Linked DNA regions of Oryctolagus cuniculus. Each later gene encodes a partner of the first gene's protein in a complex. Links are inferred from orthologs where the notes say so. Each region holds a gene or a part of one and is shown in the gene's direction. Other genes may lie near its edges. The genes, in order: TOX4 and WDR82.

The links.
Region 2: TOX4 (region 1) and WDR82 share a complex: the UniProt entries of both Homo sapiens proteins name them as parts of the PNUTS-PP1 phosphatase complex. The link is inferred for Oryctolagus cuniculus from reciprocal best matches to the Homo sapiens genes TOX4 and WDR82.

What each region holds. Positions count from the first base shown.
Region 1 is NC_091443.1:53,460,179-53,464,763, reverse strand, and holds the start of TOX4 (TOX high mobility group box family member 4), read left to right. Parts: upstream 1-1,732; 5' UTR 1,733-1,858; coding exon 1,859-1,864; intron 1,865-2,070; coding exon 2,071-2,139; intron 2,140-4,585. Other genes in the region: RAB2B (ras-related protein Rab-2B), read right to left, coding at 1,097-1,168, 1,410-1,455. UniProt on the Homo sapiens protein: Transcription factor that modulates cell fate reprogramming from the somatic state to the pluripotent and neuronal fate. In liver, controls the expression of hormone-regulated gluconeogenic genes such as G6PC1 and PCK1.
Region 2 is NC_091441.1:97,455,537-97,459,345, forward strand, and holds part of WDR82 (WD repeat-containing protein 82), read left to right. Parts: intron 1-3,469; coding exon 3,470-3,569; intron 3,570-3,809. UniProt on the Homo sapiens protein: Regulatory component of the SET1/COMPASS complex implicated in the tethering of this complex to transcriptional start sites of active genes.

The sequences.
Region 1 (4,585 bases):
TGCTCCGCTTCCCATCCAGCTTCCTGCTAATGTGTCTGAGAAAGTAGTGGAAGATGGTCCAAGTACCTGGGCCCTTGCTACCCACATGGGAGACCAGGAAGTAGCTCCTGGGCCCTGGCATTTGAGAGTGAACCAACAGATGGAAGATTTCTTTGTCTCTTCCTCTCTCTAACTCTGCCTTTCAAATAAATAAACCTTAAAAAAACTGCATTTGTGTGGCAACTACACACACACACACACATATATATATATACTGTATGTAGCTTATACATATTATATATGTTACTATGTATATTATTTACTATATATTTTATTTGGGTGAGGGTTATGTAAATCAGAAGGAAGGGTCTGTTAAAGTGCCTTCAGACCATAACTTGCCACAAACTGCCTTTTATTTCTTTTTAGAGAGTGATCGCCCATCCACTGGTTCACTCCCAAAATGGCATTAACAGCCAAAGCTGGGCCAGGCTGAACCAGGAGCCTAGAACCCCGTCCGGGTCTCCAGAGAAAGTGGCAGGGGCATAAGTACATGGGCCATCCTGCGGGGCTTTCCCAGGCCCATTAGCAGGGAGCTGGATCGGAAGTAAAGCAGCTGGGACGTAAACCATTGCCCCTATGGGAAGCCAGCGTCACAGGTGGCGGCTTAGCCCACTGCGCAACAACGCCCATCATCTGCCTTTTAATTGTTAGGCTGGGATGGCTCTTCGCTTCGCTTGGTCCTCTCCACCACACACACACACACACACACACAATCCAAGTACTGGTGTTGACTCTGAAACACACAGTATGAGGCTGGCACTCATATATCGCAAATCTGAGATGCGCTTTTGAATAACGCTGCTCGGCTTCCGCTGGATTTCCCATAAACATTTACACCCTATGGGAATCGGTCCGTACCTCGCACATCTCTGGACTTCCCTTCACAATTATTTATTCCTCTTTACACCACTCTTCACTGAACCTAACTTCGCACTAGTTTTAAGCGGTGAGAGGCAACTTTTGACTTGAGGACACGGAAGACAGCTGAGCTTTCCACCTGGGCAGTTCAGCGAGCCAAGGCTTTATGATCGGTTCTGGAACAAACAGCTGCACTTACCTATTGTGAGGTCGTGGACTGGCTGGAACCGCTTGTCTGTAAACTGCAGGAGGAGACATGACTTCCCCACACCTGAAAGGGGAGGACGTGCGTGCCAGGAGCCCCGCGGCCCAGAAACACCTCCCGGAGTCCGGGCGTCAGGGACGCGGGAAGGGGCGCCCCGAGCCCGAGCCCCGCCCCCGGCCGCCCCGCCCCGCCCCCGCCCGTTCCTCGCGAATCGCCCAACCCACTGAGCGAGCCCCGCCCCCGCGGCCCGATTTGGGAGCTTCGGGTGCCCGCCTCAGCCTTCGAAGGCGGCCCGCTCGCGGATTACCTGTGTCCCCGATGATGATGTACTTGAAGAGATAAGCATAAGTCATGGTCCCGATTCCTCCGGATTCCGGGTCCGCCCGACTTCTACATCCACTTGCCTCCGACCTCTCTAGCCACTCAGTCTAGCGATCTCCTTGTTTTTCCCTCTCCGGCCCCTCTAGCCAGATCACGTCTCTACTGCTCTCCCCAGAAATCCACAGCCGGACCGATGCAGTCAACGCCGCCTCCAGGGACGCCTCTAGCACCTCTACATGCCATTATCCCACCACGCTCCAGGGGGCGATATCTACCTTTTCCATCTGCTCGGCGCCTGACTCGCAGCCCCACGACGCTCCTTCCAGTCAGCGGAGAGCGACGCACTTCCTTGCGGAAGTGACGGCAGTTCCGAGGCCAGTGGGGGCGGTGGGAGCAATGAGGGGTCTGAGACGGTGGTAGAAAAGTGGTGTGAAGATGGAGGTAGGAGCCCGGGCGCTAAGAAGGCTTGGCGAGAGAGCGCCGCCGATCGGGTTGCAGCAGAGGCGGGAAGGGAGAGGCGGCTGACGGGAGAGGAGAGACAGCCGGGATTGGGGAGTGCTGTCAGAATGTCGGGATCGGAATCCGGGGCTCCAAGCGAAGTCCGTGCTCCCCCTAACTTATCACCGCGGCTTTCTTTTGGTTTCCAGTTTCCCGGAGGAAATGACAATTACCTGACGATCACAGGACCCTCGCACCCCTTCCTGTCAGGCGCCGAGGTGAGCAAGAGCCGCCGACGCTGCGGGAGGGGTGGGCCTGCGGCGGTGGGGCGGTGGGGAAGGGCGTGCGGACGCTGGGAGACCCCGGCTGGGACCCGGGGGGCGCGGTTGGTGTTCGGGGGGAAGTGGCAGCTGCTTCTAGAGCCTATCAGGACTGCCCGGGGAAGTCCTGGGGAAGCTGCTGTCACCAGAAAACCAGGGCGCTGGAAAGCGAGAACCGGCTTAAGGAGGAGAGTGAGTCCGGGTGGGGAGATGGGGGGGGGCTGTCTCCTTTTTGTGGGAGAAATACCCACGACGATCCTGGGGGATCACAATGGGAAGCAGAATTTTCAGCAGCTAACGAAGTCGGGTGAGGGGAGAAGCTCACCTAGCAGGGACTTAGCCAGGGGCCTGTGTTCACGAGCTGTGCTGAAGGGTGCGGTGGCGTTTTTGTTATTTAACTTTTCTACTGTGATAAAAAGTTAGTTACTTTTACCAACAAGGTATCAGCTTGCTTTGCTAGAGAACTTGTGCGTGCACGCGCGCGCGCCCCTGAGGACATTGTGCATTACTTCACCTGGGTATGTCACAGTTTCCTCAGCTGTCCCATAGCTGTAATAATAGTTTCTTATGATGTTGTAAAGTAAAAGTAATGCTTCTGGTGAGGTCCTAAAGGGTTGGTGAAAACGTTTGGGTTGAAATATTGCCATACTGTAGATATGTATCAGTTGCTTAGGCCAGACCAAAAAAAAAAAAGGGTCGGGGGCGAGAACGAAAAAAAACTTCCCAGACTTTGAGGGGGAACTATGAAGCAAACCTTCTACCATCTTTTGAAGTTCTTAATTTTTTAATTTTTTTTTCAAAAGTGGTGTAGACTTTTTTTTTTTTTTTGCTACTAAGAATTCTCAGTTGTTAAATGACTTTATCCTATAATAAATCCTGATATTTTCATGGATAAAAATTAGATTGGCCAGAGACAGTTGCTGACTCTTTAATTTCTTTGTTACTATTTTTACTATGCCAGGGGGACATGTAAATCAAATGTGCAATAGATATAAGAATGACAGAGTACTATCTGGTGCCTTTAAAGTTTTGGTACAAGTTTCCCATAAATGAGGGTCTCCTTGGTTTAATTTCATTATTTGGAGTCTTGTAAATCTCACATTAGCCTCAACTATATGAGTGTATTATTGCCAATCTCTTCTCAATCAGGTCTCCACAGTTTAAATTTGTTGTAAAGGTCACATTAGCTTCATTCATGAGAAAGCAGATGGTAAAATTAAATACAAATAGTTTTTTCTTTTTTAAAGATTTATTTATCTTTATTTGAAAGTCAGAGTTACAGAGAGAGGAGAGGCACAGAGACAGGTCTTCCATCCAATGGTTCATTCCCCAGATGGCCGCAATGGCCAGAGATGCACCGATCTGAAGCCAGGAGCCAAGAACTTCTGGGTCTCCCACACGGGTGGAGGAGCCCAAGGACTTGGGCCATCTTCTACTGCTTCCCCAGGCCATAGCAGAGAGCTGGATTGGAAGAAGAGCAGCTGGGACTAGAACCGGCACCCATATGGGATGCCTGTGCCTCAGGCCAGGGTGTTAAATGTATTGATTGTGCTTTATCCTTTAATCCTTTTATGAAGTTGAGCAAGCAGGAGGTAACTTCCTAAAGATGACTTTTTTTTTTTTTTTTAAAGATTTATTTATTTATTTGAAAGGCAGAGTTAGAGAGAAAAGGAGAGACAGAAGTCTTCTATTTGCTGGTTCACTCCCCAAATGGCTGCAATGGCCAGGGCTGGGCCAAGCCAGAGCCAGGAGCCAAGAGCTTCTTCCAGGTCTCCCACGTGGGTACAGGGGCCCAAGCACTTGGGCCATTTTCCACTGCCTTCCTAGGCACAAGAGCAGGGAGCTGGATTGGAAGCAGAGCACTGGAACTCAAACTGGGTACCCATATGAGATGCTGGCACTGCAGGCTTCAGCTTTACCTGCTACGCCACAGCATTGGTCCCTATCAAGAAACTTTACAGGATGGAGCCATGTCCAAGTGTTTTGGGGCTGGCACTTTGGCACAGCGGGTTAACACCCTGACCTGCAGCGCCAGCATCCCATATGGGTGCCAGTTCTAGTCCCGGCTGCTGTGGCCTGGGAAAGCAGTAAAAGATGGCCCAAGTCCTTGGGCCCCTGCACCCATGTGGGAGACCTGGAAGAAGCTCCTGGATCCTGGCTTCAGATTGGTAGAGCTCCGCCCGTTGCGGCCATCTGGGGAGTGAACCATCGGATGGAAGACCTCTCTCTCTCTCTGCCTCTGCCTCTCCTCTCCTCTCTCTGTGTAACTCTGACTTTCAAATAAATAATCTTTTTTAAAAAAGAAATTAAGTGTTTTTTTCTTCTTAAGAAGCTTATAGCTAAGTTTTAGTCTCAATTTAGCTAACTTAGCTAACTTACCATAGGCTTTCTATCATTGTTAACA
Region 2 (3,809 bases), on another chromosome or scaffold:
GGAGGCCATTGAATCTCAATAGGAAATTCATTCATGGTTCATATTTATCTGAAGGACATAGGCCTGATTACTTTTAGCATACCTGTGTTTTAGTTGTGATCCATCACATAACGTCAAGTGTGGAATTTTTCTTTGTTTCTTTTTTTTAAAGATTATTTATTTGAAATGCAGAGTTTACAGAGGGGCTGGGAGAGGGAGAAGGAGAGAGAGAAAAAGAGAGAGGAAGAACCATCCACAGGTTCACTTCCTCAAGGGCCACAGTGGTCGGAGCCAGGATCTGGAGCCAGGAGCCAGGAGATTCTTCGGGGTCTCCCACATGGTGCAGGGGCCCAAGCACTTGGGCCATCTTCTGCTTTCCCAGGTCATTAGCAGGGAGCTGGATTGGAAATGGAGCAGCCAAGACTCAAACTGGCGCCCTTTTGGGATGCCGGCACCGCAAACTTCGGCTTAATGCTTTAACTCCCTGAGCCACAGTGCTGGCCCCAGCTGCTCCACTTCTAATCTAGCTCCCCGCTAATGTGCCTGGGAAAAGTAGCAGAAGAGGGTCCAAAGCTTGGTTCCCTGTACCCACACGGGAGACCAGATGAAACTCCTGGCTCTTGGCTTCAGTCTGGCCCAGCCCCGGTTGTTAAATCCGTTTGGAGAGTAACTGCAAATAGAAAATTAATCTCTCTCTCCCTTTCTCTGTAACTTTGCCTTTCAAATAAATAAATAAATCTTTTTAAAAAAAGAAGAAATTCACATCTTCAGATCTAACTCCTACCCAGACTTACTGGATTAGAAGCTCTAAGAATGGATCTCATCATCCTAGCTCGACCTTGCCTTCAGGTGATGCTAATGCCACATTAGCGTCTTGGCCACAGTGTTCATGTGATGAACATTGATGGAGTCCACAAACATCTTGTTAAGGAATCTTGTTCTGATTGAGAAATATTCAATACCATAAACTGTCCCTGTTGAGAGGTATATCCTTGGCTGGTGCTGTGGCATAGCAGGTTAAGCTGCCACCTGTAGCACAGGCATCCCATATGGGCTTCTGTTCAAATCCTGGCTGCTCTACTTCCAATCCAGTTCCCTGCTAATCTGCCTGGGAAAGCAGCGGAGGATGGCCCAAGTCCTTGGGCCCCTGCATCCACATGGGAGACCTGTTTGAATCTCCTGCTTCCTGGCTTCAGCCTGGCCCATCTGCAGCCTTTGCAGACATTTGTGGAGTGAACCAGCGGATGGAAGATCTGTCTCTCCATTGCTCTTTGTTAATTCTGCCTTTTGTGTAAATATTTATAAAATGAATTAAAAAAAAAAAAAAAGACATATGGGGGCTGGTGCTCTGGTGTAGCAGGTAAAGCCGCCACCTGCAGTGCCCACATCCCATATGGGCACCGGTTCAAGTCCTGGCTTCTCCACTTCTGATCCAGCTCCTTTCTATGGCCTGGGAAAGCAGTGGAAGATGGCCCAAGTCCTTGGGCCCCTGCACCCGTGTGGGAGACTTGGATACAGCTCCTGGCTCCTGGCTTCAGATTGGCGCAGCTCCAGCTGTTGTGGCCAGTTGGGGAGTGAACCAGCAGATGCAAGACCTCTCTCTCTCTTTCTCTCTCTCTCTGCCTCTCCTTCTCTCTCTGTATAACTCTCTGACTTTCAAGTAAATAAATAAATCTTTTTTTTTTTTTTTTTTTTTTTTTTTTTTTTTTTGACAGAGTGGATAGTGAGAAAGAGAGAGACAGAGAGAAAGGTCTTCCTTTTGCCATTGGTTCACCCTCCAATGGCCACCATGGCTGGCGCGCTGCGGCCGGCACACTGCACTGATCCGATGGCAGGAGCCAGGTGCTTCTCCTGGTCTCCCATGGGGTGCAGGGCCCAAACACTTGGGCCATCCTCCACTGCACTCCTGGGCCACAGCAAAGAGCTGGCCTGGAAGAGGGGCAACCGGGACAGAATCCGGCGCCGCTAGGTGGAGGATTAGCCTATTGAGCCGCGGCGCCGGCCAAATAAATAAATCTTTAAAAAAAAAAAAAAGATATATAGGTCAGTGGTTTTTAGTAAATTCACAGAATTCTGGAGCTGTCAGCACTATGTAATTCCAGAAAGTTTTCATTACCCGAAAGAGTAACCTTGTGTCCATTAGTCACTCCCCAAGTCCTTGGCAAACACTAACCTACTTTCTGTCTCTAAAAATTTGCCTATTGGGGCTGATGCTGTGGAATAGCGGGTAAAGCTGCTACCTGCAGTACTGGTATCCCATATGGTCGCCTATCAAGTCCCAGCTGTTCCACTTCCCATCCAGGTCTCTGCTATGGCCTGGGAAAGCAGTGGAAATGGCCCAGGTTCTCAGGCCCCTGCACCCGCGTTGGAGACTCGAAAGAGGCTTCTGGCTCCTGGCTTCAGAACGGCGTAGCTGCAGCTGTTGTAGCCATCAGAAATGAACCAGTGGATGGAGGACCTCTCTCTCTATTTCTCTCTATACCTCTGCCTCTAACCGCCTTTCAAATAAATAAATCTTTGAAAAAAGGAAAAAGATTTGACTATTCTAGACATTCTCTGTAAATGGAATCATACTAAGGCCTTTCGTGTCTGACTTTTATTTAGCATGTTCCCAAAATTACTCTTTATTGACTCATGACTCAGCACTTCATTCCTTTTTATTGTCAAGTAATATTCCACTGCATTGTATGGCGAGAGATATATGTGGGTGATGGTGGTAAAGCTTATTTATTTATTTATCTGAAAGGCAGAGTGATGGAGAAAGATCTTCCATTTGCTGATTTCATCCCTAACTGGCTGCAGCAGCCATGCCTGGGCCGGGTCAAAGCCAGGAGCCAGAAACTTCATCTGGGTCTCCCTCATGGGTGGCAAGGGCCCAAGTACTTCAGTCATCTTCCACTGCCTTCCCACATGTATAATAGCAGGAAGCTGGATTGGAGGTGGAGCAAGTGGAGCAACTGGGACTCAAACTAGCACTCCGATATTGGAGGCGGCTATCCCTAGCAGTGGATTAACTCAGTGAACCGTAACACCAGCCCCTGTAGGGTATATTTTCTTTATGTGTTAGTTAATAGACATTTGAGATTTTGTTTACTCTGACTATTGTGAATGATAGTATGATTATTGGTATATGTTTTTGCATGAACATTTTTAGTTCTCTTGAGTATATACCTAGAAGTGAAATTTCTGGGTCATAATAACTGTTTTTGGAAAAATGTTTTCTAGAGCAATTGTGCCATTTTACATTTCCATCAGAAATGTATGAGAGTTCCCGTTTCTCCACTATCTTTTTTTTTTTTTATATATTTATACTAAGGCTTTAAGTTGCTTTTTTCATTATACTAGTTGTCTTTGATTATCCCAGATATGCTTGTGTATGTGTATTTCTTAACATGGCAGTTTGGGACAACAGGTATATATAGGTAGGTGGAGTGGTTTAGAGTTCACATCCAGTTTTGCCTCAACTCCTATTTATCTTGATACTTTGCAGGGTGGTGGCCTTGTCTATGTCACCTGTGGATGACACTTTCATTTCTGGGTCTCTTGATAAGACCATTCGACTCTGGGATCTCCGGTCTCCTAACTGCCAGGTAATGGTACCTTACAGATAAAATTTTTGGGCATTTTCTTTAGTAGTCAGTATTATCTCTCCCTCTTAAAGGAGAAAGCAGTGGTTTTATTCTGGGATCCCAGAGTCTTCTTAAATATGGGAGAAAACCTGTTTTCCTGGTAGGTAGATGGTAAGCATACACCATAATATAGTTCAAATCGCATTGTACAGTGCGGCTTAGTGGTTTTTTTTTTTTTTTTTTTTTTTTTTTTTTTTTTTT